Sus scrofa: one gene and its partners. The protein of the gene in region 7 interacts with the protein of the main gene of each other region in a pairwise test. Links are inferred from orthologs where the notes say so. Each region holds a gene or a part of one and is shown on either strand. Other genes may lie near its edges. The genes, in order: TRIM38, EFEMP2, nuclear envelope pore membrane protein POM 121C-like, CAMK1, LASP1, ZNF488 and ATXN1.

Region 1 (4,047 bases), about 8.0 Mb from region 7:
TGTCTTTGTCCCCTGTGTTTTCAGACTCTATCCCATGGTCTTGTACATTGTGGTTTCCCAGATTACATACAGAGTGTGAGGCAATAGGACATGCATGTGGGTGTTGGAGCACATGGCAATCAGGGCAGGGAGAAGGTCATCAAAGTGAGACTGGCTAGGGACAAGAGTCTGACCATTCCGGTCAGGATAGACCATTAGGACCAGATTCAGTGAGGACCCCTCATAAGAATGACATGATGAAAACTTTATTCTAGGATCCTGATCTTGGGTTTCAGGCTAAATAATCTCAGGTCTCAGAGTGGGGTGAGGGGCAACATGAGGCCAGGTACTTGCCAAACCCCTCTGGCCCACCACTTACCTTGTAGCCTTGGCACGCGTCTTCCACCAGAGTTGTGGCGTGCCCTCTGTGCTGTGGTCCCCGATCACAGCGCCAGCAGATGAGCTTGCCTTCATTCTCACAGAACAGATGGAGCTTCTCTCCATGTTCCTCACATGACATTTCCTGGTCCATCTCCTTGATGGCTTCAATGAGGCCTCCCAGCTGCACGTTGGGTCGGAGGCTTGACATTTTAAATGGCACCCGACACTGGGGACAGGAGAATGTCTCCAGCCATGGCTGCATTCGGCAGAGATTCTCAAAGAAGTTCACAATGCACGAGTGGCAGTAGCTGTGTCCACAGCTGATGCTCACCGGCTTAGACATGAGGTGCAGGCAGATGGAGCAAGTGGCTTCCTCCCTCATCTTCCTGGTGGTTGTGGTTGAGGCCATGGCTTTTCCTGAAAAGCTCCAATATTGGATTTAGAGGCAGAGAAGAAGCAGCCAGAATTTTCCCACCATGTTCAGAAATTACCTCACCTGAGCCTCTGTGATGCACTGGCTACCACTGGCCTCCACAGGTCATGAGGTCTTCTTTCTAGAGAAAAGGAATAGATTGGAATTTAGAAAATGTGTACAATGTAGCTTTGTTGTGGAGTATGGTAGCCATTATTACCTGTGGCTATTTAAATTAATTACAATTAAATAGAATTAAAAATTCCTTTCTCACACCCACTAGCCACATTTCAGTTATTTAATAGCTGCAGGTGATGGATAGCTAAGATAGCCCAGATATGGAACATTCCATCATTGTGAAAAGTTTTCTTGGACTAAGTGCTGAGAGAGAGAGACAAGGTAGGCCTCCTCAGCAAAGTTGCAGCAAGAGAGAGAACTCAGTGAGGGACTGTCAGACTCTTTCCCACTCTAATAAAGGTTGAGAATAACTAGTACCAGAATTATTTCTTTGTAACTGGTAATGACACTTAGGTAACTGGGTGGTCTATGAAGATTCCATTGAAACAATCCAATTTGACTCTAATTAAACTCCCACTCTTACCCACAAAGAACCATAGACACCAGCTTAATAAAATCCCCAGTGGAGACACAATCAGGATGATAGTGAAAGTAAAAAAGACATCCAGAAGAACCAGGGAACTCTATTAGCCCTCCCTGACCTGACAGAAAGAGAATTAGAAAAAGCTGGGGGAGTTCCGTTTGTGGCTCAGCAGGTTAAGAACACAACTAGTATCCATGAGGGTATGGGTCCGATCCCTGGCCTCACTCAGTGGGTTAAGGATTTGGCGTTGCCATGAGCTGTGGTATAGTTTGCAGACGCAGCTCAGATTCTGCATTGCTGTGGCTGTGGCCTAGGCAGGCAGCTGCAGCTCCAATTCAATCCCTAGCCTGGGAGCTTCCATATGCCGGGGATGCGTCCCTAAAAAGAAAAAAAAGGGGGAAGAGAAGGGGTTGGTTATGGGTAGCAGAGTTCCTGGAGAGCTAGGGAGGTTAACTGTTGCTTCTCCAGAGCAGGACCTGACTCTCAGGAGAACTGCAGGGTGACTGGAGCACGGGAGTTTGCAGAAGCCAGGATGTGGGGACATAGGAAGCAGATGGGGAAGGTAGGGCCTCTGTGGGACCCTGGGTGCTGGACCCCTGGTGTCCTTCAATGAGGACCCGACAACCCAGAGACTTTGGAGGAGGGAACAGGAGTGAAGAAGTCAGCCCTTTACCCACTGCTGCAGCTGCTTCGGGACCCCAGCCCTGCTCCCTGCTTGCCTACTCCTGGCAGTTGGTCAGGGAGGGCAGTGGAGGCTGGAGGAAGTTTAGAGAGTGACCTTTCTTTTGAAGTGACAGTACCAGAATTAAGAGCAGGGATTCAGCCAAAGTTACTGGAGAGGCCATTTCCCTCTAATAAGTAGAACCGGGCTCATGGAGCCACAGAGAATTTCTTCCAGAGACATCTGTTCTTTGGCAGGTTATCTCGCCCAGAAGGTCCACTAGGCTCCTCTCTGCCAGGGATACTGTGCTCCTGGGGAGAAGGACCTACCTCCCCTCCTCTGAGGCCCAAGGGTGCCTGTCTTGGGCCTTCACTCACCTCACACCCTGGATCTTCTGAGACTGGATGTGGAGGGTGGGAAAGGAGAAAGCAGACAGGGTGTGAGAGCTCTGAAGCCAAGGCCTGGCCATTTTCAGAGTTCCAGCAGGCTCTGTTCTCAGAAAACAACCCCTACCCACCCCGCGGCCGCCCACCACCACACACTCACATGCACATGTCTCCTAGCCCTCCGCCAAGAAAACCTGGGCCTGGACCTTTTCCACTCCCGTCACCACAGATAGTCACACACTCTCTGCTAGATCCCTCCGTAGCAGCCAGGAAGTTCACGCAGGCTACAGAAACTCAGAAGTGAAACTACTGTGGGAGGCGGAGCTCTGCCCAGCTGAGGAGGAAACCAGTGAAAATGTGCCCATCTCTTTTGCACTCTGCTTATGCTGAAAGGGAGGGGAGATGCTAAAGAAATTTTTTTTTTTTTTTTTTTTTTTTTTACAGCAGTAAAAGGGATGGATTGGTAATTCAGGAAGTTCTTTTGTGACTCTAGCACAGAGGATCTAAACCCAGGAAGTCTGCAGAGTTCACAGACTCTGACTTGAGATCTTTCTGCTTTTGCCACCAAACCCCTTGGGATTCATAACCTCCCTGGCTGATGTTACGTTTTGCTATTTTTAGGCTGCTTGTTGTTTTATAACTGCTCTGAAGGATGTGGTGAAAAAAAAGGGGTGGTACCATAATGGGGCTCATTGATGGCAGAAAATTTCTCCAGGCAGTCTCCCATTCTTTGCCCTGATACCCTGTCTCATCTGCCTCCTCAGTGTCCCTGTGAAAGATTCTCATCCTTATCAACAGTCAGAGTTGGGCACCAAGGACAGCAAACGGAACCACTAATGGCCCAGCAGTTAGTGGCCTCAGCTGAGAGCCATGTGAGCTGGGAGCATTGCTCAGTGCTCTCTGGGGGTCTAGGGTTGAGTACTTAGTGCCTCAGCTCCAGCCTCTCCAGTTCAAAATAGAAGCAAAAATACTGGGCCCACCCAATTTAGAGTTATTATTTAATGTGAAAAAACTAACTCAAAATAAGACCTTGCCACATGCATAACCTTAGGTGTAAGAGGTATTTGTGATAAGTGCACAGTGTTTGCTTAGGAAATAAATACATGCAGTGGCCCAGGGGAGCCAGTAAGGATGGCTAAGGACACAGGCAGGAGAAGTTAAGTTTGGATTCTGAGAGCTGCCTGGGATGAACTCTGGGTCCTGGGCCCCTGGCTGGGTGGGTCAGTTGCTGACCCTGGAAGTTCATGGTCTGTGCTAAGGGCATTGGACCTGCAGCTGGAGACTGGGGGGAACTTGATGCAGCCACAGTCCTGCTGGTTCAGCAGCTCAGGCTGGAGGCAAAATTGTGAAACAGCTTCCTCTCTTCCCACCCAAACAGGAGTCTCTCTTCAGCACTGCATCCTCCTGGCTGTTCACAGAGCCTTTGGCCGTTTTGCCACCAGGTGACTCACAGTGCCCTGGCATGTCCTGTGGTAGCTGGCCCCACACATGGTACAGGACACATCTACTCCCAAGGCAGCCAGCATGCAGACGGAAGAGAAAGAATGAGACCCCGAATCCTGACCCAATGCAGACTCTGTGCAGATTCGCACGACTTTCATTGTTGTGGATGCGACTCTGGACCCAG
Region 2 (4,127 bases), on a different chromosome or scaffold from region 7:
GCACAAATAAGAATCTGCTGGTCTGGAGTCCCTGGGATATCGGCACCCCTACCCTGGGAGACCCCATGTCAGGGAAGCAGAGGAAATAAGGCCCTGTCCATGCTCCCAGGAACACTGATTGATTCCAGAACCTTCTTCTGAGGCCTATAGCACCCAGGAGTGGGGTGCAAACCAGGAAAGGGGAAGAGGCTGACAGCGAGCGCTCCCGCGGTGCACCTGCAGTGATCAAAAGGAGGATCCCGGAAGCTGGCTGGGCATGGGACGGGAGCTGGGCAGGCCCCCCACAGTGAGGATCTGGACAAGGGGCTGGATATTATTATGCCAGCGGCCCCGAGGAAGCTTTTTATTTTTTTATTTATTTATTTTATTTATTTATTTATTTATTTTGTCTTTTTTGTTGTTGTTGCTATTTCTTGGGCCACTTCCGCGGCATATGGAGGTTCCCAGGCTAGGGGTTGAATTGGGGCTGTAGCCACCGGCCTACGACGCCAGAGCCACAGCAACGCGGGATCCGAGCTGCGTCTGCAACCTACACCACAGCTCACGGCAACGCCGGATCTTTAACCCACTGAGCAAGGGCAGGGACCGAACCCGCAACCTCATGGTTCCTAGTCGGATTCGTTAACCACTGCGCCACGACGGGAACTCCCCCGAGGAAGCTTTTGAGCCAGGGAGGAACATGAGCTGTGAGTTTTTAAAATGCAGTGATAGACACTTGATAGAAGGATTGGAAGCCTCAGCACCAGGGCAACCGACCCTCACTCACCCACGCAGTTCTCTTGCTCATCCGGTTCATAGCCTGGTAGGCAGGGGGTGGCGTGTTCAGCAGGGGACACTGGTGGTGGTGGTCCCTCGCCATGCAGGTCATTGATGACAGCCGCCGAGCGGGGCAGGCACAAGTAGCCCCCGTAGTGGTTGATACATTTCATTTCCCCCTTGCAGGCCTCGGGGATGGTCAGGCATTCATTGACATCTGCGGAGAGGGGCCTGCTGGGCACAGCCAGTCTCCTGGGCTGGCCACGGAGGGGGTGGGCGGCAGGAGCCCAGTGCAGCCTCCTCTAAGCTGCGTGACCCAGGAAGGGCCTTCCCACTCTCCTCAGCTAAGGCTGCCTGCCCAGGACCACTTCCCAGTGCCACCAGGGCTGGTGGCAGGCTGGCTCTTGCTCCACTCACTTCCATTCTCTTATCCCCAAGAGGGTCTCTATGCCGCCCCAGAGCCCTGGTCCCAACTCAGCCCAAGAGTGAGGTGCAGGCCTTCTCGCCCACCCCCGCAGACGCTGCCCTCCCAGGTCACGATGGCACGAAGCTGGGTGGGAAAGTGATTAGAGGAGGTGGCCAGGAACCATGCCTCTGGGCAGCGCCCTGTTGGTCTCTGGACTCCTGGGGGGTGGGAGGAGGCTGTCCCATGTTTTTCTGAGAGGGAGGGGCCTGGATGGCTTCTCCACCCCCAGCTAAGCTGGCCCCCTGAGAACCAGAGCTGGCCACGGCCAGGCAGAGCTGGGCAGGGGACAGGCCACTGACTCCCACAGCAGCTCTCCGTGCTGGAGTTGCAATCCACTTCCTGGTGCTCCAAGCATACTCACCCCGGCAGTGCTGGCTGTCGGGGTCCCACTCATAGCCATCTGTGCATTCCTACAGGGGGACCAGAGGTGGCCAGTGGTCACCCCCTCTCCTCTAACTGACCAGGCCAAGACCAGAGCCCAAGCTTGGCCACCCTCCCCGCCTGCTCCAAACAACAGCTCCAGCTGCTCCACGGACCAGGGGAGGGGAGAACCTGCCCCAGCAGCAGCCACCCCAGGATCCTGGTCTTGGTGTCCCTGCCCAGCCCAGCCCAGGCCAGGGGCTCCACTGTCCCCACCGTGTAGCTGTCGGGCTCCTCCGAATCCTGGGGAGACGCTGCCCCCAAGAGCAACAGCAGCAGCGTCCAGAGCAGTAGAGACCCGGGGAGGCAGGAGGCGAAGGGGAGCATCCTGGGGCTGGGAGGTAGTGAGTGGGGGTCAGGGCGTCTGGGCCACGGATCCCCCATTGCCCGAACCAGGACTCAGAGACCTGGTCCCCGACACCACCCGCCCGGGACTGTGTCTGGGGCTTCGGAGCCTCCCAGGGCCGGGGGTCGACTGATCACGCAGGCCGGGGTTCAGGGCCCACCCGCCCCGGGTCGCCCCGCCCCCGCCCGGTCCCCCAGTGGCTCGGGCCGAGGAGCGCAGGCCTCTGGCTCGGTGCTGACGCCGCCGACTCGGCCGAGACTCTGGCTGGCGCCCTCCCCCCATGGACGGCCACTCACTTGGGCCCGTGACGGCCCGGAGGCCCGCGGCTCCGGCGGCTCGGCTGGCTCCGGTAGTGCCTGCGGGAGACGGACAGGCGGACAGCGCAGCTCCCTGGACGCGCGGCCCCAGGAAGCGCCCCCCGCCCGCCTGCCGCGGCGCGGCCCACCCCGGCGCCTCCGCCCGCCCCTCGGCGGATTCCTGAGCCCGCGCCAGGGGGAGGGACCCCGACCCCCGCTTCTCCGCCCCCGGCCGGCCACAGGCCCCACCCGGTCCCCCGCGGCGCCGCCCGGAGCCGCCTCCCGGCGCCAGGCCAGGGTCCCTTAGCACAGGATCCTGGGGCATTGACCCTGATGTCAAGCCCCCAACTCACTCTGGAGCCCCCAGGCTCTCAGTTTGTGCACCCAAAAATGTCATCCTGCGCACCTAGACCTTACCTAATCTGCACCCCTGGAATTCCTGTGCACCCACATCTTAATGCCAGGGACCCAGACTCTGCGCCTCCCAGAATGTCATCCTGGGCCCTTAGACTCCACCTAACCCTGGAACTTGCAGATCCTCCTCACTCTGCGCCACCAGAGTGTTATTCTGTGCACCCGGACAGTTATTCTGGAAATACCACAACCGCAACTTCATCCAGGGTCCCCAGACCCTCGCCCTGAGAAGAGAGACGCTCCCAGGTCCAGAACCGTCCAGTTCTGTCCCTTCTCCCTTCCATCCCCGGGACTGTCTTCAGCCAGGCGGTCCCTTCACTCCAGGACGGCCTCCCCCGGGCCCTCAGTCCCTGAGGCTACATCAGTTTGGGGCGGGGGCGGCAGTTCACTTTTGGCTCAGAATGAATGGAAGCCCCTGAGAAGTCGAGCAGGGCTGAACTCGGGCGTGCAGGGCTCCAGGGTCCGGGGCCATCACCTTCCTGGCCATCTTCCTACCAATGTCTCCCCCGCACACACCCCACCTCCCTGCCCCGGGCTGTCTGCCTCTTTTCCCAGGGAGACGGAGCGCCTTAAGGGGAGGAGATTGGGCGGAGCTGGCTCCCAGGAAGGGGCGTGGTCTCGCCCTGCCCACGTCTCAGGGCGGGGCCAGACGGGAAAGGGCTGCGTGTCCAGGGAACCCCTGCCTGGAGGCAGATGGCCAGCAGGAACTGTTAAGCCCTTTCCCACCCCAAGTGGTCCTCATAATCGCCCCCTATAGCAGCCCCGCCCGAGGGGGGTGTGTGAAGGAGAGGACATTCCAGGGGGTCCTGAGGTGACCCTTTCGGGTTCAGGGTGAAATGGAGAGCTCCTACCTCCCCTTCCCCCACATCCTCTAAGCAGCCCCCTCTCCCCGCATCCCTGGGGTGAGGGCGGGGGAGGAGGCTAAAAATAATAACTCCTTAAAACCAAAAAGACAGACAATAACAAGTGTCGGGGATGTTAAGGAGAAATTGAAACCTTGAAACGGTCATACACTGTGGGTGGGAATGTAAAGTGGGAGGACTCCTGGGGAAAACAGTCTGGCAGGTTCTCAAAATGTGAACACATGCCCCAGTGATGTCCCGCCTAGGTATACGCCCGGGGCATTGAAAACGTATGTCCACACCAAAAGCCTGTGCACGATGGTCATAGCAACACTAGTCATAAGAACCAAAATACAGGAGTTCCCCTCATGGCTCAGCAGTTAACAAACCCAACTAGCATCCATGAGGTCCTGGGTTTGATCCCTGGCCTTGCTCAGTGGGTTAAGGATCTGGCATTACGTGAGCTGTGGTGTAGGTCAAAGACGTGGCTCAGATCTGGTGTTGCTGTGGTTCTGGCATAGACCAGCAGCTACAGCTCTGATTGGACCCCTAGCCTGGGAACCTCCATGTGCCATGGATGCAGCCGG
Region 3 (3,237 bases), on a different chromosome or scaffold from region 7:
TGCCTCAGGAGCCTTTGGCTCCGGAGCAGGACAGAGTGGGACCGCTGGCAGCACGACTCCTTTTGTGGGAGGCTTGAGTCAGAAGAGCCTGGGTGCACCCAGCCAGAACACATCCTTTGGCCTCAATGTGGCCTGCAGTGCAGAGAGCCAACCTGTGTTTGGAGGCGCCTCCACGCCCACCTTTGGTCAGAGCACCCCTGGCCCTGGGGTGGGCACATCAGGCAGCAGCCTCTCCTTTGGGGCGTCCTCAACACCCATCCAGGGCTTTGTTAGAAAAGGACCTTCCTTTTCCATTGGTGCGGGACCCAAGCCCCCAGGGGCTTGGCAACAGCTACAGGCCCGGAGGCAGCACACTAGCAAGAAGTAGCCCCTGGCCCTTACCCCCCCTCCCACTCCCCTTTACCCCTCCTGCCAACAACTGGACCTTGGCACCTGCCAGAAAGAGCCTCTCACCTTCTCGTTCCATGAAGCTGAGATCTCTGAACCAGTCCTGCTTCAGCCATGGGGCGGGGAGGAGGAGTGGCAGGTGCAGAGGCTGCTCCCTGTCTTGCAGGAAGCAGAAGGCCGAGGCCTCTGGGGGGATGGGAAGGCAGGAAGGGTGGCCGGGCCGAAGCCTGTGACCTTACTTGAACAGTTGCACTGGTGAGGCTGGCGAGAACTGAGGAAACAGCTGAACAAGGAAGCCTGCTTCCTTCCCTGAGGCTCGCGTGGTATATACGCTTAGTGAGGCAGCTCCCTTGCCAGCGTTTCCCTGAGAGCCAGCTCTGCTGGAGAGTGGCAGGTAGAGACCTCACCCCTTGCATCTCTGATATGCATTTGATGGGCTTGGGGGAAGCGCTTATCCCTATAGCTTTACCTTGCTTGGCTTGGCTATGCAAGGTGCGTCTCCCCATCTTGTCCCATTAGAGGACTCAGTGTCTCCATTCCTGCTGCTTTGTCTGTCACCGACTGCTTGCAGGATCAATTCCTTTTGAAATGATCCTGAGTCTAGCTTTGCCTTGGATACCCCAGTGGGTGCTGCTCCTCAAGTCGGAGCCTCTGTTTCATCGCCAACCCTCTCTGCCAGTTTGGCCCCCACGAGCTTGGTGGCTCAGGACTGTTAGCCTGGCAGATGGAGGGGTGACCTGTCACTCTGGGAGAGGGAAGCTCTTGGAACAGGCAGGATGCCCACCACTGCTTTCAGCTGCCTCCTTGTCCACCTTCCCTGTTGGCCTCACTGGACTTATCTACCTCCCCGGGATCACATGTTTAAGCCTTATTCTGTATTACTTTATCGGATGCTCATGTCCATTGCTCTTAGAGTCGAGATTGATGGAATAATTGAATTGTATGAGTGGCGGCACGTTGGTAATGCTGGACGGAACTGTTTAAGTTTCTGGGGCCTCGCTATTTGAATGTGGAAAGTAGCACCACTTGATGGCTCCAAGTGCTGAGTCTTGACTTTTCAGTTGGTGTTTTGACCTTCAGGGCTGGCGGCCTAGGTGGATGGGGCCACTTTTTTTCTTTGCCCATCTACCTAACCTCATGGCAGGCTAGATCACCCATCGTATAAGTTAGAAAGCGTTTAAGTAATAAGCAACATTTTAAAACCGTATCTTACTCCCCCCGCCCCTTCCTTTCTTCTTCCTTTTTTCCAAAACCACGTACCCCAGGCCCAAGAGCCTGGCTGCCACGCCTATCCTCTTTGGGAGAAGCATGAGTGCGTGTGTCGAAGTGAAAAGAAAAACATCCTTAAACATTTCCAACCAGATAAAATAGTTATTTTTGTGTTTAAGCTAAATTGCCTTTTAAATTCCTTCAAGCTTGGTTCATTGAGGTGGTTAAAGACTATAGACTATAGACTAGAAATTAGCTGTATAGTTCAGTAATGCCTGTGTGAAGAAGAGGCTCAAATGCTGTCCCAGGCAGCCTTTCCGAGGGCCTGGAGCTTCTGCTGGAAGCACAAAATGTCATTCTTATTTTATAAATGTGACGGAGGTGTAAGGAGTCCCCCTGCCCATTTTGACTGAGGGTGACTGTCTGCTGGACAGCTCGACTCCTGGAGAGCTCGACTCCTGGCTGTTGTGTGTGGAGCTGAGGAGGGACCTGAACCTGGAACTCGACTCCTGGCTGTTGTGTGTGGAGCTGAGGAGGGACCTGAACCTGGAACATCTGCCAGGACGAGAGGGGGGTGGGGCACAGGCCTAGAAATCAGGCTTCTGCCTACACCTTACATAAGGCAGACCCTCTCAGGTTAGTCCTCTGAGCTAGCTTGCCTCAGTTCCCCAGGCAGGACCCTTGGTCCAGGAACCCCCAGGAGACCAAAATATTATTCTGCTCTTCTGAGGATTGCAAGGAAATACGGGAAAAAAGGTTTCTCCTCAAAAGGTACAACCAGTCTGACTTTCAGCTACAGTGTGAGCCTCATTTTCAAATGTATACAGTGCTTCCAGTTCTTGAATACTTCTGCGTTACAAGAGCATGCAGCTTTGGACTACCTGTTGGCACTGTCCCCCCTGCTAGGCATTTTCAGAATTGCTCCATGAGTTTACAGTTTTTTCTTTTAGTATACTTTTGATTGCAAAATGTGACTGTCATTGTTACCCTTTTATCCATTAACTTTGTTCTTACGGAATCATTCCCTTTTAATGTTTCCTTTAAGTTTTTGGGTAATTTTGTGAGACAGCAGCAGTAAATGTATGTATGGAACCTGCCGTTTTTCGTTTGAAGACTGCTATTTAAAAATGTAACAAACATATCTAGTTAATATTTTATACCGCTTAAATGTCTCTGTCCTTTTAGAAATAATATAAATAAAATGGTTTAATGTTGATATGAATGTTTCGTATTTATTTATTTTAGGATTCCATTTTACCCTTTTTTTTTTTTTTTTTTCCTTTTTGCCGCTTCTAGGTCTCCTCCTGTGGCATATGGTGCTCCCAGGCTAGGTGGCTTGTTGGACCTGTAGCCGCCAGCCTCTGCCAGAGCCACAGGAACTGCCAGATCCAAGCCGAGTCTGTGACCTACACCACACTCACAGCAATGCTGGATCCTTAACTCACTGAGCAAGGCCAGAGATCACACCCGCAACCTCATGCTTCCTTGTCGGATTCCTTAACCACTGAGCCACGATGGGAAATCCTCCATATCACAATCTTCAACGCAAACACCAGTTATGGTTTTATTAACTTTATATTTCATTATGGATTCATTTAATCACTCTGTTTATTAGTTTCTTTCCTTGCCGTTATTTCTGAC
Region 4 (4,090 bases), on a different chromosome or scaffold from region 7:
AAGTTTATCCCCACACAGAAGTCTCTGCTCTCTCTGGGCTCAACAAAGTCCTCATTCATGACTTTAGCTGGAGCAGAGCACACACCTGTTGTCATCTTACGTGGGTCTGTCTCCCTCACATGTTTGGGATCAATGTGAGGGGCAAAGATCAGGTTTGAGTTATTTCTGGATTCCCACCATTGTGGGCAGCCATGCCCAGCCTCAGTTCTAAAACCTAGGTTAGAACCCCCAGTTCTTGGCAGCAAGTTTGAAAAAGTGGCTCCTTCATTCTCATCACAGGAACCTAGAACTCTGGCAAGAGCCGCCTCAGTTCCCACCCACCGTCAGCCAGAAGTGAAAAGCCAAGGCCAGTCTGGGCCAGGCAATGCTACCATAGGGCCTGGGCTGCAAGAAACAGGAAGCAGTGATCAACTGGCCAGAGGAAGCACCGCCCTGGCCTCAGCCCCTCCAGGCCCAGGGGTAAGGGCCTTCCCAACCCCACCTCCCATCTCAGGGACAGCCGCCCCTTCACTCCCACCCTGAGACTCACGTTCCTAGAACATCACGGAAGTCGTAAATGTCTCTAATATCCTCCGCCTGCTTCCAGGTGGGGCTTCCACTGCCCCGGCATGGTCCACTGCCCCCCAACCACAGCCAGGGCTCCTAGGAAGGAGAATGGAAGAAGACTCAGTGGGGCCCCCATCTTTGTAGGAACTTGCTTGGGGGCTCCTGTTCAGTCACTCAGCCCACACTGAATCATTCCTTGATCATTCATTAGACAAAGTCATTCAGCAAACATTCATTCACAGCCATTTGTTCTTTCAACACCTATGCAGCACGCCCTATGCTTAGAGGAAAATCCCTCAGGGTGGCAGCAAAATTCTTTATTCAACAAAGTCACTCATTCATTCATTAATTCAGCTCACCTCCCAGTTTCTCCCTCTCTAAATCCAAACGCTTAGGGGCACACTGATCTCTGGGAGAAGTGCAGAGAAGACCCCAGAGCAGCTTGTAGAAACGCACTGCCCTGGAGGATCCCCTTGTCCCAGAACCAGTGATGTCCCAGCCCCACCCTCAGAATTGCTGGGGTGTCTCCTCTCCCTCCCCCTTCTCCCTGCCAGGCCTCTTGGAAATCAGGTTTCCGGCAGCCTGGGCTTCCAGCAATATCTCTGCCACGTTTTTTAAATAGCTCCTTCCACACTGTTACCACAGCAACAGCAGCCACAGCTGGAGCTCCCCAGGCCTCTTATTACCCCCTCTCCCTTCTGACTCCCCATCTGGATCCCAGCAACCTGAGAAATTGTCCCACCCAACCTGTCCCTTCCTGGCTTCATCTCATCCTGATCCAGCCTATACTTTTCACCACTGAGACCTCACCACCACGGAGACTCTAACCAGTAGTAGAGGGTGAGCTCTCCCCATTTATCAGATGAAGAATGGGGAGACGAAGGTTGGTGATGGATAGGGTTTGGATCCAGAGTTGCTCAATGACCCCTAGCTGGGCCCCAGCAAAGACTGCTGGAGGCAAAGACCTAGGAAGGCACTGCAGCCAGACTAGGACCCATCCAGAGAACACAGCCTCTCAATCCCATCCCAGGTCCACAGAGAGTGAAGCCAAAACAGAGCTCAGTGTACTGTGTGTCCTCAGGGAGGGCCCTTTCCTTCTCTTTTTCCTCCATGGGAAAAAATGAGGGGAAGGTGCCCTGATTAGAGCTCCTAGTGTGGGATTCCACTCTTTGGATGGGACATGTTCCCAAGGGGGCCTGGCCACCAATCCCAAGGGGCAGAAACTTCTAGGAAAGGAGACTTGGTGGTAAGCTGTAGAGGCAGAATTTTAAACCCACCTGGAAGCCTGGCAGATATGAACCTCACAGTTTCACATCAAAAGCCACCCACACCCCTGAACCCAAACACCTGCCTCCAGCACACGCCATCCCCAGTTACTCTGACACTTGATCACACATGTACACCCGGACGTCAGCACACACATCCAAACACACACTCCCCCAGACATCCTCACACCCAAACATCCCTCTCATACCCCAAAACACACATCCATACACACCTTGATGACACCCAGACAGGCAGACACACACACTCACCTGTATACCAGACATCCCAGATTCATTCATACCTTTATCCTAGAAGCTCTTCAACTGCAAATCCTTATACTCCTAACTCCAAACATGGTCAGCACACAACTGTATACGTCCCCAACTCTGACTTACTGCCCTTTTGAGCTGGATACCAGCACACCACAACACCTGGACATATATCTGCAACAAAAGCACTGACTCCCAGACATCCGCACGGATACCCTTATACACCAACATGCTGCAACTTCATATCTGAAGCCCCTTGCCAAAGCTAAGTCACTCTCATATCCCAACACATCCATACCTCCAAATGCCCAGTCCTTCCACATTCAGGCCCAGCTGAAGGCAGACACGCACGCACACACATCCCTTCCCCACCTTCCTCTTTTACCCACTCAGTTTCCCACCGGCACCTGCTGGGCCTGGGGCAGAGGTTGGGGAGTGAGGCCCGGCCCTGCCCATCTAGAGTCCGGCACGCCCGGGCTCCCCTTTCCATCCTTGGGGGAGGGTATCCAGCGGCTGCGCCCAGGGTCGGGCGGCGCGGCTTTGGGCTTGTACCTGCGGCTGCCCCGCCGCGGGGCTGGCTGGGAGGCCGGAGGTGCCTGGTGCTGGGCTCTGGCCGCTGGCCGCTGGCCGCCGTCCGCCGCCCGCCGCTGCTGCGCGCCTGGCCCCGCCGCCGGCTCTCTCGCTGGGGCTTGGTTCGGACTCGGCTGGCTCCCTCCGCCCGCCTGCGGCTCTGATGTCAGTGGAGGAGGAGCCTGCGACGGAGGGACTGGGGACTGGGAGGTGAGGCTCCGCTCCCGGGCTGGGAAAGGGGCGAGAGGTCAGGAGTTAACAGCGGCCGCCCTTCGTGCAGGTCAGATCCTCCGCTGGGTTCTTTTCATCCTTCGTCATCAGGCTGGGTCCCCGTTTCACAGTAGGAACAACTGAGGCACAGAGAGATGAAGCGCTCAAAGTCAGTTGGTCAGAAGCAGAGTCGAATTCGAACACAAGTCTGTCTGATGCCGGAAGCTGGCCATTTTCGCCCTATCTCTAGGAGTTTCTTTCAGACCAGTTCTGGGAGCTCCCTTAGGGTTGGGCGCTGTCCTACTCTCCCTGCCCCTGTCCGCCCCTGGGAATTAGGCCCAGGGAAGAGCTCTAGAGACTGAGAGGAGTGGAGGCCTGGGGCCGTTCGGAAAGGACAAGGCAAGGGTAGGTGATGAAGAGAATTGAGACAGTCTTAGGGTGGGGATCCCATTTGACTTGCGGGAAAACTGAGGTCCCTCTCTGAGGCAGAGCTAAGGCTCTAATTCTCCACACCTGCAGAGCTGATGCTCTAATTCCCTACACCTGCGGGCCAGATCGGGTGTGGTGCCCAGAGGGACTGGGGCGGGGAGGGAAGGGGGAGGGGGGAGAGTTAAATCTGGATCCTCGTGGAAGCGGGCCAAAGAGGACCACGTGACTGGGCTGGCGCCAGCGGCCTTTGGCTCAGGGCCAGGTTGGGAGAGGAAGCCCAAAACCGCTCTGGGGCGGCGGGCAAGGGGCCAAAAGACCTGGTCTGTGTCCTCTTGAGCAAGGCCTTCCTTGGGGAGAAGGGACTGAGGGAGCAACTCCCAGAAAGAAGGGGTGGGGCTGGACTGGAGCCAGCCGGAGGAGGCACGTTTCTGGGGACCCCCCACTCCACCTCATGGCCGCTCCTCAATCTTGAATTCCTGCATTTTACAGCTGCAGATAGGGAGAGGACAATGCTTAGCTCAATCTCATTTTCAATTGGCTTTTCCCTGTCTTAACCTCAGGACTGTGTCCGAAGGTGGTCAGGTTATTGTGCCCATTCTACAATGAGAGAGGAAGAGGTTCCTAGAAAGGCTTTAGAGACTAACTTTTCTGAGTCACACTTTACCTCTCTTAGCCTCAATTTCTTCATTTGGAATATGGAATATTGATGACTGACTCAGAATTTTCCTGAGAATTCTGTGGGATAATGGATGTGACGTGCCTGGAGTACCACCGGGGTTCAAAATATGACAGCTAGACTT
Region 5 (3,500 bases), on a different chromosome or scaffold from region 7:
GCCTAAGTCTCTGGGACCCCAGAGCAGAGGCCGGAGGAGCAGGGGAACGGGAGCTGGGAGCTTTGCCAAGAATTTTCCCACCTGGGTATCTCACTGTCTGAGAGCAGCCACCTTTCAAACAATGCATTTGGCATCTGCTAAGGGCCAGGCCACCAACAGGGCTCTGCCCCACCTCTGGGAACAGGAGTGCAGGTGAGGTCCCATGCACACTGCCCCAGGTAGTTTAAAAACATACCCAGGGAGTTCCCTGGTGGCTCGGTGGGTTAAGGACCTGGCATTGACACTGTGGCAGTCAGGTCGCTGCTGTGGCGTGGATTCGACCCCTGGCCCGGGAATTTCCACATGCCTGCGGGTACAGATAAAAAAAGCAAAAACCAAAAAAAGAAAAAAATGATATTCCTGGTCTGCAATGATCTGTATTACTATAAACACTAGACTTTCTTTTTTTAAAGCTGTTGATGAATCTGCTTCCCAAGTTCAAGACAAAGAACAACTCCTGAGAGAAAAACCATCAGGTCCCACCTTCCAACTTCAGCAAAAATCTTGTGTTTAAGCCCCAGCTCTAGGAAATGTCCAAGAAAAACACATGAAACCCATCTGTGATCTTGGAGGCAGGCAAGATTCGAACGCCCTCTGACCCTCGCTGCCCTTGACATGGACTTGTCTCTGGGGGTCAGCTCAGCCTGTACCGTCCAGCCTCTGGTTTGCCTCTTCCAACTGTCCATCCATATTTTATTTTATTTTACTTTTTTGTCTTTTTAGGGCTGCACCTGCGGCACATGGAGGTTCCCAGGCGAGGGGTCTAATCGGAGCTGTTGCTGCCGGCCTACACCACAGCCATAGCAACACCAGATCCGAGCCGTGTCTACAGCTCATGGCAACGCCAGATCCTTAACCCACTGAGTAAGGCCAGAGATCGAACCCGCAACCTCACGGTTCCTAGTCGGATTCGTTTCTGCTGCTCCGCAACGGGAGCTCCCTGTCCATCCATTTTTGATCTCAGGGGGAACTTTCCAAAATGCAAACCTGATAATGCCACTCCCAGCTTTAAATCCTTCAGAGGCCCCTTATCTTCTTTAGCATGAAAATTCAGACTTTTGATCAAGCAGCAGAAACCAGCTCCATCAGCCCCGAAGGCTATGGGCTAAGAGGTCACAACCCTCAGGAAATGACTGCAGTGACCGCAGCCATTTCCCTTATCACCAGCTCTGCCTCTAATCTCTCGGGCCAACTGGCCACCACCTAGAGCTGCATCAGCCGAGTTTATCTCCCTGTTTCTGCCCTCGTCTTCTACTGCTGCTTCTCAACACGGCTGCTAGAGCCATCTTTTAAAAACACAAGTCAAACCCCTCGCCCTGCACAGCTCCCCAGTTCACAAAAGCCTTCCTGTGGCCTCCAAGTCCCTGTAGGATGGGACCTCACCTCCCCACCGGCTTCCCCTCCCTAGTCACCCTGGCCCTCCTGCTGATCCTGGAACTTTCCTAGAACACTGCTGCCTCAGGGCCTTTGCACTTGCTGGCCTTCTCCACCACTCAATCCTTTCCTGAGAACTGTCATTCTCTCCCCTCACCCGGCTGTCTTTTTCTTCACGGCTTATCTCTGACCTTTCGTTACTTCTGCTTATCTATTGCTTTCATGTTTGTCTCCCAGACTGGATGTAAGCTCCAAGAGGCCGAGAAGGAGGACTTTCTTCAGAGCCAAATCCCTCATGTTCAGGGTGGACTTAGTGAGTATCTGAAGGACTGGCTGGTCCATCCGGAACCTCATCCTTCAGATGCTCCCTTGGGCCCGCCTGACACCCCAGATACTGATAAGGGCTGGAGTAGGATCATTACACAGGTAGTTGTAGGAGTCCCAATAAGGGACCGAACATAGATAGAGAAACCTAAGGAACGTTGGGAGATCACTGTAAGTTAATAATTGCTCAAAAAAGCCATGAGAACAAGGCAGGATTGCCTGACTAGTGGCGGGGAGGGATAGGCCTGAGGTCACTGGGTGGAGGATGGAGCGAGACCTGCATTCAGGCTCAGACTAAGGGCAGGAATTTAAAGACAATCCTTGTGCAAATGTGAATAAGCGCCAAGACTGTTCTAGTTTAAGCTTATAGGGTCAAACACTCGCTTACCAGATACCAAGGAGGAGCTACTACTTGAAAGATGAAGAGGCAGTCTTTTCCCACCCCAGTCCCTTGGATTGTAAAACTGCAGCGCACCTAATCCTCGGGGCAGAGCCTCGTTGCCTGCCCACTGGCATCTCTCACAGGGTCCTACCTTAACAAATCTATTTCTTGCCTGTCACTTTGCCTCTCGCTGAATTCCTTCTGCGCTGAGGCACAAAGAACCTGACCCTCAGTGAGGCCAAACGCCAGGTGAGTGATTCTAATTTAAAAACTGTTGGCTGGAGTTCCCATCGTGGCTCAGCTGAAACGAATCTGACCAGTATCCATGAGGAAGCAGGTTCGATCCCTGGCCTTGCTCAGTGGGTTAAGGATCTGCCATGGCCGGGAGCTGTGGTGTAGGTCAGACACAGCTCGGACCCAGCATTGCTGTGGCTGTGGCGTAGCCTGGGACCCCTAGCCTGGGAGCTGCCATACGATGTGAGTGTGGCCCGGCCCAGGCCAGGGCTCTGCCCACTACTCCGCGCTTCCTCTCTGCTCAAGAGGCTGAGACCCTTATCACCTGCAGATGTCAGAGGAGCTGGGGTCAAAGGTCAGGGGAAGCTGGCTGGGCCTCTGGGTTTTCCAAGTCTAGGAAGCCTTTCCCTAAACCTAGCCACCTCCCCCAGCTCCCCTCCCCCTGACCTCGACCAGGGCTACTCACCCCGCCCCCTCCTGGGGCGCTGCGCTGTATGGAAACTGGGGCTGCAGGCTCCTTGTAGCCACCATAGGACTGGGCCGCCTGCTGCTGCTGGGGCTGCTGGTAAACTGGAAGACAGCAGGAGACAGGCGCAGACACTAAGACAGTGTCCAAACCCAGCCCCTCCCAGAGCCCCCTCCCTTCCTGCATGAAGCCTATGACCGCCCCCCAACCCTGCCCAACCCCCACTTCTCAAGGCTTCTGCCTCTGAGCACATTTGCTGGTGTCCCTACCCTGCAGCAGTGGCTGTGTCGCCCCCCCATTGCACTGGGGTCCAGCACAGGCCCTGACCCTCAGCCCTCAGTAGGGATGGGACCTGGGTGTGTGTGTGTGTGTGTGTCTCACCTCCTGCCCACCCTGTGGCCAGCCTGGGTGTGTGTGTGTGTGTGTGTGTGTGTGTGTGTGTGTCTCACCTCCTGCCCACCCTGTGGCCAGCCTGGCCTCAGGTCCTCAGACCCCGCAGGCCTTGCGCTCACCTGGGGTGCTGGTCGGGATGTGATGAGGCTGCTGCTGCTCCTGGGGCCGCCGGTAGCTGGTGTCCTGGGCATCTCGGCGCTCGGGCTCCAGGCCCTCACCCCCGCTGGGGCCCATGCGGCTCTTCTCAAACTCCTCGTGGTATTTTATCTGCAGGGGCAGAAAGTGCTG
Region 6 (4,008 bases), on a different chromosome or scaffold from region 7:
ATTAGGGATTTGATTTCTCACATTCATATTCATTAATGGGCTCTCCTCATAGAAGAAAAGTTTGCTTTGGGGACCATTATCCAGAGCTTTAATGTCTATTCTGAATCTCATCTTTTGCACCTCAGACTCATCATAATTTTGTTCCTTTACAATCTTATCTGTGTGAAGATGCTCCCTAACCTTGAGGAAAAGCACAGAGCTTTATCACCTTGTATCCCCACACTCTCTCCCCTCAAGGGCATCCAGAACATTTACTGAGTTAAGGAAGAAAGGAAGGAACAGGGACTCAGTTCCTCTAGGAGTCTCTCTTCCCCTCTCTAATCTGCTAAACTGAATGGGAGCCATTCTCCTGGCTGCCACTGCAATAACTCCTGAGACTCCACGTCCATCTCCCCTCATCCTCCTTACAGGGGAAAGTCCTACGTGGGCCAAGCCCTGGCCTGAATGTAGCCACTCAGAAGGCATTCCCTCCCGTCGCCACCCTTCAGGCCCTGGCCTGTCCCAGCCTCCATGGGCAGGTAAATTCCCTGACACCTTCGCATTCTGTGAAGTCACAGAACTCACCATTACTTGGCACAATGCTGCCATTTCAGAACTTAGGAGGGCCAGGAAAGGCAAAGAGGCCGAGGCTCTGCTCCAGCGAAGTCTGGGAGACTCTCAGGGCGCCACAAAGATGGAGCTCCCGCGGCGCTCAGCCTGGACGGGGAGGAAAGTCCTGGGAGCTGGGCAACGCACGGAGGATCCGCAGCTGCAAGGCACGGACCATCTGAGGAATCTGGCTGTCGCCCGGGTCCCACTGACCCAAAAAGGAAGAAGTCGCGGCGCAGGGGGCGAGTGAACAGCGGCAAGTGCAGCCTCCGCTGTGGCCCAGACGCCACCTCCAAAGGCAGCGGCGGCTGAGCGCACTGTGGAGCGGCCCGAGTCAGGGCACCCTCCTCGGTCCCTCAGCTGGGAGGCGCCGAGCGAGGCCGGAGCCAGTGGGACGCAGGGCCTGGGTCTTCCGAGCTGAGTTCGTGGGAGGGCCAGGCTCCGCCGAGAGGTCGCGAAACCGGCGCTCGCCCTCGCGTTCGGGGCCTCTGGCCGGCGTTGTCCAGGAAGCGCGTCTCCTCAGCGCCCCTCTCGGCGGTTTCAGCCCACTCGCAGGCCCCTCCCCGAAGGCCCCTGGGCCCCCAGGGGCGGGGCGGCGCCCGAGGCTCCGCCCCAGAGGCGGGAGCGGCTCGGGAAGGCGGGGTCCGGCCAGCCCCCAGGGCTCGCGCGCCAAGTTCCGACCCTTGCGAGGCGCCTCTGACCTGCAGGCGGCCGTGGCTGCCAGCGCGTCCCCAGCGCGTCCCCAGTGCCCAGCGCCGCAGGAGAGCCGAGGTGAGACCCACTGTCCTGCCCTCCGGGACAGGGCCGCGAGTGGGCGCGGGGGTCGGGAGTCATCTCATTTCTACGGTCCTTTCCCCAGGGCAAGTTCTCAGTCCTGCCTTTGACTGCCCGGTTGTTGCCCTCCCGCTGTTACCAGCTTTCTCCATCTCTCCTTTTTTTTTTTTTTCCCCTCCTGTGCTACTCCTGACCCTTCCCTCTGCCTCTGTCTTTTGTCTTTTATCTCTTCCTGTATTTATCTCTCATCTGTCTCACTTTTTCCTGTCCATTTTTTTATTACCGATTTCCCTATCCTTCCCTTTCTCTTTCCTCTTCTGTCTCCGTCTCTCTCCTCCCACCTTCTTCCTCCTTTCCTTCCCCTCAGCAAGAATTAAACCTTGAATATATATATATATATTTATTTATTTATCATAGGTTGACTTTTTGAGCTGCAATTATTTTAATTCCTCCATCCACCCCTTCACTCACGGTGTGCTGCTCCATTATTTTCAGCCAGGGCTTGTGCTGGGCACTAGGGTAATAACGGTGCATCTGCAACAGATTCTATCCAAAGATCTGGGTGTGTTACCTGTTCAATGCCTATTGTGGGAAAAATACATAAAGGGTCAAGTTGAAAAATCTCTGAGTTTTCAGAGTGCACTGAAAATTTTAAAGACAAGGCATTTATGGAATCCTTTTCTTAGCATTTTGCCTTTAGTAATAGACACAGCCAGCACCAGGAAGCTAAATCTTGCAGGAACATTTAAGGGACATGGGGCCACACCATCCTTCTGTGGAGGCAGTGCAAAAGCCAAGTCGGTGGGGAGAGTGAGGGTGGCATTTAAAACGCGGTTTGGTCAGCTTTAACGGAAAAAAAAAAACAAAAACACCTCAGTTTGGGGAAGACAATAGGGTGACCAAGGCTTTACATATGCAAGGGTGAGAGTTGAAATAAGCAATCAACTGTAAATTTCTAAAGTATATCTATACTTGTCAGTGCTGTTGGTATGCAAAATTTGATTTCACAATCATTGTTGAATGATTCAAACTTCTTATTACAATTATTGTGGCATTTAAAATTAATGTTTTCACACAGTGAAAATGCTTCATCTTAATATCAAGGATTGCCTTAGACACAAACTTAAGAAATATAGAAAAACAAATTTGATTAGTTTTTGAGGAATACAGTAGAAGGTATTGTATATTAAAGTAATTTTTTTCATTTCTTAAAAATTTAATCTTGCCAGAGAGACATGATTTCCTTATTTAATATTTGTATGGCATATATAGCTATGTGTTCAAACACACATATACACATACTGTATACACACTTAAGTTGTAAAAAGAAAACTTGTTTGTTTTTAAAGCTGCTAATCACTGCCCAACACTTGAAGCTTTTTGTTCTTCTTATAATTAATCCATCTTTTGAATTTGTTGTGATTTTTAGTGATAATTCAGCTGATTTAACTTTTCAGTTGATGTGCAAAGGAAAATTTGCCAATAGATAAATCACACAGAATTAGCCAAAATTAAGAATGATGGAAGAAGATTTCAGTGTTGGTTGAAAGAATTTTTTTTCCACTTTATATCAAAGTATGTTGGACAAATTCATAGGTGTAGCATGCACTTTTTTTGGGGGGAGACTGCTCTCTGGATTGAAGAGTTAAATTGTCTTTTACATCATTTAACCAGTAACTTTCCATGGGTTAGCTTTGGTGGGGGGAGAAGGAAGGGATGCTTTTCCAATGATTTAGAACTCTCATGTCTTTGCTCAGCAGAGGTCTTTTTCAAAAATCTAGGAGGTGACAGCTTTTCCTTGAAATAAATAATCTCATTAGTTTTTTTGTGTGTGGTTTTTTGTTGTTTTTTTTTTTTTTGTTTTGATACAGGGCTAAGTCTTGAGCTACAGTGCTTTAGTGCTTTGTAATTTCTTTTCTTTCGTCAATAGGATGTATCTTCCCTTTTTTCTAGTCCACGATGCTACTTCAGAGTCTGGCTGGGCAGTCTTTCATATAAACCATAGACTTTTCCCCTGAAGGCTGATCTGGAATTGGTCCATGTGGCCAAGCTGTGTTAGGACTGAAGCTGACCTCTCTGTGGGCCTGGGAACTGGCTACATCCTGGGGATCCTGCGTTTGGTTTTGTGGACATAGCAGGAATTGCTGCTAGAGGGGTGTAGGCACGGCTGGACATGGAGCCTTTGAGGGCCAGCTGGGAAGTCCTCCTCTTCCCCAGTGTCATGGCACCACCAGCTAGCCTCCAGGAAGGACTGGACAACTCTGACATTTCTGATTTTCTTGGGTTCCAGGCGAGGCAGATGCCTTGAAAATATATGGAAAACGCAGTACCTCACAATCCACACATGGAAGAGTTGGTTGGATGATTATCCCCAGAAATCTTCCCCAAAAGAAGCTCCCAATTCTAGGGAAACCCAAGTATTGAGGGGCATGAGGTTTTTTTCTGTTCTGGTTTGTTTTAGCTGAAAGGAAGGAAGATACAGAAAGATGCTGGCTGTTAGTATAGATGGTATCACTGAGTAAGATCTGGTTTGTGAACTTCAGCTTGGAACAGCTGGATGCTGGCCAGCTAACTTGGGGTGGTGTGGATCTGCAGACGTCTCAGGGACATGAGGTTGTCCAGTTGTTTGCAAAGAGTTCTTGCTTC
Region 7 (4,081 bases):
AGTGACTCGGAGAGAACAGCTGCCTTGGGAGTGTGGGCTTGAGTGTAAGGCTTCCTTCTACCTGCTGGGGAAAACCTCTTGAAACAAATGAGCTCCCGGCTGTGCTTTGAAAGATGAGGCTCGGAAAGACTGAGGTTTTCACAAGTACTTTTGTAAGACTCAAATGCACAGTTTAAAAAAAGCATCAGTTCGGGGGTTGTATTTCCTCCTCTGTGCCAAACAGTTCATTTAGTTTTTTTAGTCTTTTCCTCACCCCCACCCCAACTCCACAGGCTGAAATGCCACTTCTGAAGAGCAGAGCTGCTGGTGCATCCTGGCACCAATAGAGGGAGCTGAGAAGGCCTCCGGAAGACCTCTGAGCTGAGGCCCAGGGCTGGACACTGCCTTCTCTCCAGCCTCTAGCAACCTCTGTGCTTCTGGCTAGAAGCCAGGTGTTTCTGGGAGGATGGGGAAGTGGTTCTAGAACTCTCTTGACAATTTTCCTATTCTACTGAAACTTTTGTTTATGGCCGTTGTCATGGGTAAAGGACCAAACACATATGCATCCAGAAGTGATCACCTGTGTGTATCCATAGAGGAAAGAGATAAGGCCCTAGATGTAAATAAAGAGAAGAAGGAAGAATGCAACAGATGGAATAAAGAGGGTGTATGGGGCTGCTATGACAAGTGACCACAAACAGGGTGGCTTAAAACAAGAGAAATGTACTCTTACAGTTTGGGAGGAGAGAGGCCCCAAATCAAGGCATCGGGCCTTGCAGGGCCTTGCTCCCTCTGAAGCGCTAAGGAAGAATTCTTCCTTGCCTCTTCCAGCTCCTGGTGATTGCTGGCCAGTCTTGGCTTTCCTTGGCTTGTGGCTAAATCACTTCCATCTCGGCCTGTCTTCGCAGGGCCTTCTTCCCCTTCCCTGTGTCCCCCGGTCTTAGGAGAATAGCGGTCAGGTGGGATTTAGGGACCACCCTCATCTGGTAAGACATCTTAACTAATTACATCTTAATTCCAGATAAAGTCACTCACTTTCCTAGGGTGCAAGGACTTCAACATATCTTTCAGGGGAGCACAACTCCACCCACAACAGAGGGCAACAGGAACTTACCCTGAGAGCCCACCTGTGGGGGAAAACACATAAATGGAGCAATAAAAGGAAAACAGTTACATGTGAAATTCTAAGTGGAGGTCAAATGGATTTGGGAGTAACAGGAAATATTAGATAAGAGAAGCTTTCACTTGGGATACGCTCTCCATCTGTGCTTATGGCCTTGATTTTTTTTTTTTTTCCCTCTCAGAGTTAAAAAAAATACTGTATAAATAAAAAGAATAAGAAAATAGCACTTCTCTGACTCACACATTGGGCAGAGCCGCAAATTCTTGTGATAATCAGGAAAGACTCCACGGAAGGGTTGGTGCCTGAGCTGGATCTCGGAGGATGAGGATAAAATCGCCATGTAAAGGAGGACTTCCCAGATAGAGAGAAAGTATATGCCAAAGGCCCAGTGTCACTTCAGTGATCCACCCTTTACTGCCTGAAATAGGGTGAACAACCTCTCAAGGCAAGGCGCAGACCGTCTGCTTGATCTGTATTACTCAGAAACAGGATTAAATACAGGAAGGGGCAAACATGTTGCTGGTTTTAATAAATGCACACAGAAGCACACAGTAACCTAAAGAGACAGGAGAGCAGCATCTCTAAGGAAGACTTCATTCTTGGGCACATTTGCCAAAGCACAAATATGGAAACCCCACCCTCAGCCAGAGCTGGAGAAATCAAAAGGCTGATGTGGTATAAATTCCTCTGCCCTGATTGCATAAGGAGATCTGCCAACATTTTTTTCTCTGATATATTCCTTGCTGCACAAAGAGCTGAACTGGGTTTTTAAAACCTGATCGTGAACCGAGATAGGCAATTCTGAATCATCACCAGGATCTAGGAAAATTAACCCTCACCGATCTTCCCAGATAAGCACCCAAGCTTGCTGCCTCTGAGATCTGCTGCGGGGTTCTGGCTAGGTTCCTGTCACAGAGAGACTCCCCTTTTTTGGCATAAGAATGTACAAGATGCCAGTAAAGTTCACACTGGGTCATCGAAGGCTCTTTAAATGCACGGTGATTCATTGCTGGGGGTGGGGGAGCGACGAGAGGGAGGGGGAAGGAAGTGCTGAGCAGAGAGGCGGAGCGAAGTAATTATGAAATTGACTGCAGAAAAAGCTCGCGCTGGGAGTGACGGGGGTCACGTGTTCCTACTATTGGTATTTCGGCTACAACTTTCAAACCCGAGGCAGGGGGGAGGGGTCGGGAAACCTCACCTTGCCTCTTGATTGGCTTTCGGAGGAGATGCTTCAGATGCCTGGCATATTTATTAGAATTACAACGGAGCATTAATTTCTCTTTTTATCTGACAAAGAAGAAACGCTCTCCCATGACAGTCCGGTTAGCAGAACAAAAATCTGGCTGTACTGGTATGAGTGAACAATTTGTCTTCTTCTTCTTGATTTACTCCGCATTCTAGCTGACAGGGTCTTCCATTCTGCGCATTCATTTTGTACTTAAAAAGGGATTGTTTGTAATTTACAGTTTAAGGCTGAGGGCCATTATTCTGCGCTGTCAGAACGCATCTGCCGCAGGAGCATCGTTTCAGCCTGTGCCAGGGCACAAAGCAAGCCCTGATCGCCAGTCAGCTTGAGAGCTCCCTGGAGACTCCAGCCCTTAAACTTTGGAGAGGCCTGGCCCACAGGGGTTCTGCAAATATCAAACTGCCTGACAACCCCCGCTGAAATCCTGACACACAGTTTCCTCTTTGTGTCCAAAAGCAAACTTGGCCAGTGCCTCTTCTCTAACTCTTCCTCTTTGGGGTAAACTTGGTAAATTCCTCATAAAATAATTGTCTTAAACTCGGACCCTCCTGTGGGTCAGTTTTCCTAGCTGATGGGTGACTCAAGAAAAACAAACCGACAGAGCTTACAGCTAGATATTTTAATATCCTGTAGTTAGAGTCACAAAGACCTTCCCTCTTTCCCAAACAGTTTGATGTGTTTTGTTTTGTTTCTTTCAGTCCGTTGTAGCCCCTGATCTCAGTCTGCAGACACCCTAAGCTTAACCCCTACAACCCATCAACTGCCATCATCTTAAAGTGTAAACAGTGGTGGCTTTGGGCTTTGATTTTAATTTGGAAAATGTATTTCTTTTGAGGAAACAAAATGCCAAGATGTTAATGAAATGCTTTTAATAGATTTCCAAATGCTCCCAGCCAATACCAGGCAAAGTTCAACTCACTCATTCTAAGCCTCAAACTGTTGTTCATTTTCTTTTCCTGTAAGAAGGGCTATGTCCTATAGATGATTAAAACCATAAATTCTGTTATTTCATAGGTCATTACATTACATTCAGTCTTGGTTGTAGTTACATTGACGAAAATTTATCTAGGTCTTGCTTGAAAAATAAATAATAATGGTTAAAAATCATCTCATTTCCTTTTGACGTGTCCTATTAGACTAAGTATATGAGAAAGTGTTATATATAAAAAAAAAGACAGATTTCCTTTTGGTGGCCTTGATTTGTTTTCTAGTTAAGCAGCAACTGTATACTTTTCATTATTCATGCCCAAAGCCATCTGTCATTAAAAGGTAACACCCCCAACCATTCAGCCACAAGCTGCAAATCCAGCTATAACTCCAGAATACATAGCTTTCCATCAGCTTCCCAGGGTGGCACAGTGTCTGGGATCCTCTCTCCCCTTCTCCCCCCCCCAAAAAAAAACCCACACCAGATCTAACAAATTTTTAGTCTAACAGACAAATCTAATAAATTTCTATTTTGTGGGCCCATGCCAGATCTACCCAGGAGATTATTCCTTCACCACCAGCTTACTCTCAGAGATCATTTTAACAAAGGTTAAGGTCCATGTTATACACTGCAAGGGGGAAATCTCAGGAAGGTTAAAAAAAAAATAACCCAGTTATCTACTCCACTACTGCAGAGTCATGCCAGGATCTTAAGGTCTCCAATTAGTTCTTAGAACTAATTCCTGCACCTCCCCAGCCTCATTATTTATACCAGAGTGGTCCATTAGAAAAATAATGGACACATG

The links.
Region 1: the proteins of ATXN1 (region 7) and TRIM38 interact in binary tests that used the Homo sapiens proteins (3 or more experiments, as listed by UniProt). The link is inferred for Sus scrofa from reciprocal best matches to the Homo sapiens genes ATXN1 and TRIM38.
Region 2: the proteins of ATXN1 (region 7) and EFEMP2 interact in binary tests that used the Homo sapiens proteins (3 or more experiments, as listed by UniProt). The link is inferred for Sus scrofa from reciprocal best matches to the Homo sapiens genes ATXN1 and EFEMP2.
Region 3: the proteins of ATXN1 (region 7) and nuclear envelope pore membrane protein POM 121C-like interact in binary tests that used the Homo sapiens proteins (3 or more experiments, as listed by UniProt). The link is inferred for Sus scrofa from reciprocal best matches to the Homo sapiens genes ATXN1 and POM121.
Region 4: the proteins of ATXN1 (region 7) and CAMK1 interact in binary tests that used the Homo sapiens proteins (3 or more experiments, as listed by UniProt). The link is inferred for Sus scrofa from reciprocal best matches to the Homo sapiens genes ATXN1 and CAMK1.
Region 5: the proteins of ATXN1 (region 7) and LASP1 interact in binary tests that used the Homo sapiens proteins (3 or more experiments, as listed by UniProt). The link is inferred for Sus scrofa from reciprocal best matches to the Homo sapiens genes ATXN1 and LASP1.
Region 6: the proteins of ATXN1 (region 7) and ZNF488 interact in binary tests that used the Homo sapiens proteins (3 or more experiments, as listed by UniProt). The link is inferred for Sus scrofa from reciprocal best matches to the Homo sapiens genes ATXN1 and ZNF488.

Annotation. Positions count from the first base shown.
Region 1 is NC_010449.5:20,681,289-20,685,335, reverse strand, and holds the start of TRIM38 (E3 ubiquitin-protein ligase TRIM38), read right to left. Parts: upstream 2,801-4,047; 5' UTR 2,581-2,800; intron 915-2,580; 5' UTR 770-914; coding exon 359-769; intron 1-358. UniProt on the Homo sapiens protein: E3 ubiquitin-protein and E3 SUMO-protein ligase that acts as a regulator of innate immunity. Acts as a negative regulator of type I interferon IFN-beta production by catalyzing 'Lys-48'-linked polyubiquitination of AZI2/NAP1, leading to its degradation.
Region 2 is NC_010444.4:6,453,828-6,457,954, reverse strand, and holds the start of EFEMP2 (EGF-containing fibulin-like extracellular matrix protein 2), read right to left. Parts: upstream 2,801-4,127; 5' UTR 2,702-2,800; intron 2,345-2,701; 5' UTR 2,285-2,344; intron 1,977-2,284; 5' UTR 1,970-1,976; coding exon 1,859-1,969; intron 1,633-1,858; coding exon 1,584-1,632; intron 974-1,583; coding exon 767-973; intron 1-766. UniProt on the Homo sapiens protein: Plays a crucial role in elastic fiber formation in tissue, and in the formation of ultrastructural connections between elastic laminae and smooth muscle cells in the aorta, therefore participates in terminal differentiation and maturation of smooth muscle cell (SMC) and in the mechanical properties and wall integrity maintenance of the aorta.
Region 3 is NW_018085157.1:64,930-68,166, forward strand, and holds the end of nuclear envelope pore membrane protein POM 121C-like, read left to right. Parts: coding exon 1-367; 3' UTR 368-2,737; downstream 2,738-3,237. UniProt on the Homo sapiens protein: Essential component of the nuclear pore complex (NPC). The repeat-containing domain may be involved in anchoring components of the pore complex to the pore membrane. When overexpressed in cells induces the formation of cytoplasmic annulate lamellae (AL).
Region 4 is NC_010455.5:66,052,491-66,056,580, forward strand, and holds the start of CAMK1 (calcium/calmodulin-dependent protein kinase type 1), read right to left. Parts: upstream 2,801-4,090; 5' UTR 2,634-2,800; intron 2,596-2,633; exon of another isoform or gene 2,489-2,595; intron 643-2,488; 5' UTR 611-642; coding exon of another isoform or gene 604-610; 5' UTR 602-603; coding exon of another isoform or gene 596-601; 5' UTR 594-595; coding exon of another isoform or gene 530-593; intron 1-529. UniProt on the Homo sapiens protein: Calcium/calmodulin-dependent protein kinase that operates in the calcium-triggered CaMKK-CaMK1 signaling cascade and, upon calcium influx, regulates transcription activators activity, cell cycle, hormone production, cell differentiation, actin filament organization and neurite outgrowth.
Region 5 is NC_010454.4:23,225,710-23,229,209, forward strand, and holds part of LASP1 (LIM and SH3 domain protein 1), read right to left. Parts: intron 3,480-3,500; coding exon 3,332-3,479; intron 2,924-3,331; coding exon 2,820-2,923; intron 1-2,819. UniProt on the Homo sapiens protein: Plays an important role in the regulation of dynamic actin-based, cytoskeletal activities.
Region 6 is NC_010456.5:88,472,914-88,476,921, forward strand, and holds the start of ZNF488 (zinc finger protein 488), read left to right. Parts: upstream 1-1,208; 5' UTR 1,209-1,359; intron 1,360-4,008. UniProt on the Homo sapiens protein: Transcriptional repressor. Plays a role in oligodendrocyte differentiation, together with OLIG2. Mediates Notch signaling-activated formation of oligodendrocyte precursors.
Region 7 is NC_010449.5:12,728,051-12,732,131, reverse strand, and holds the start of ATXN1 (ataxin-1), read left to right. Parts: upstream 1-1,281; 5' UTR 1,282-4,081. UniProt on the Homo sapiens protein: Chromatin-binding factor that repress Notch signaling in the absence of Notch intracellular domain by acting as a CBF1 corepressor. Binds to the HEY promoter and might assist, along with NCOR2, RBPJ-mediated repression. Binds RNA in vitro.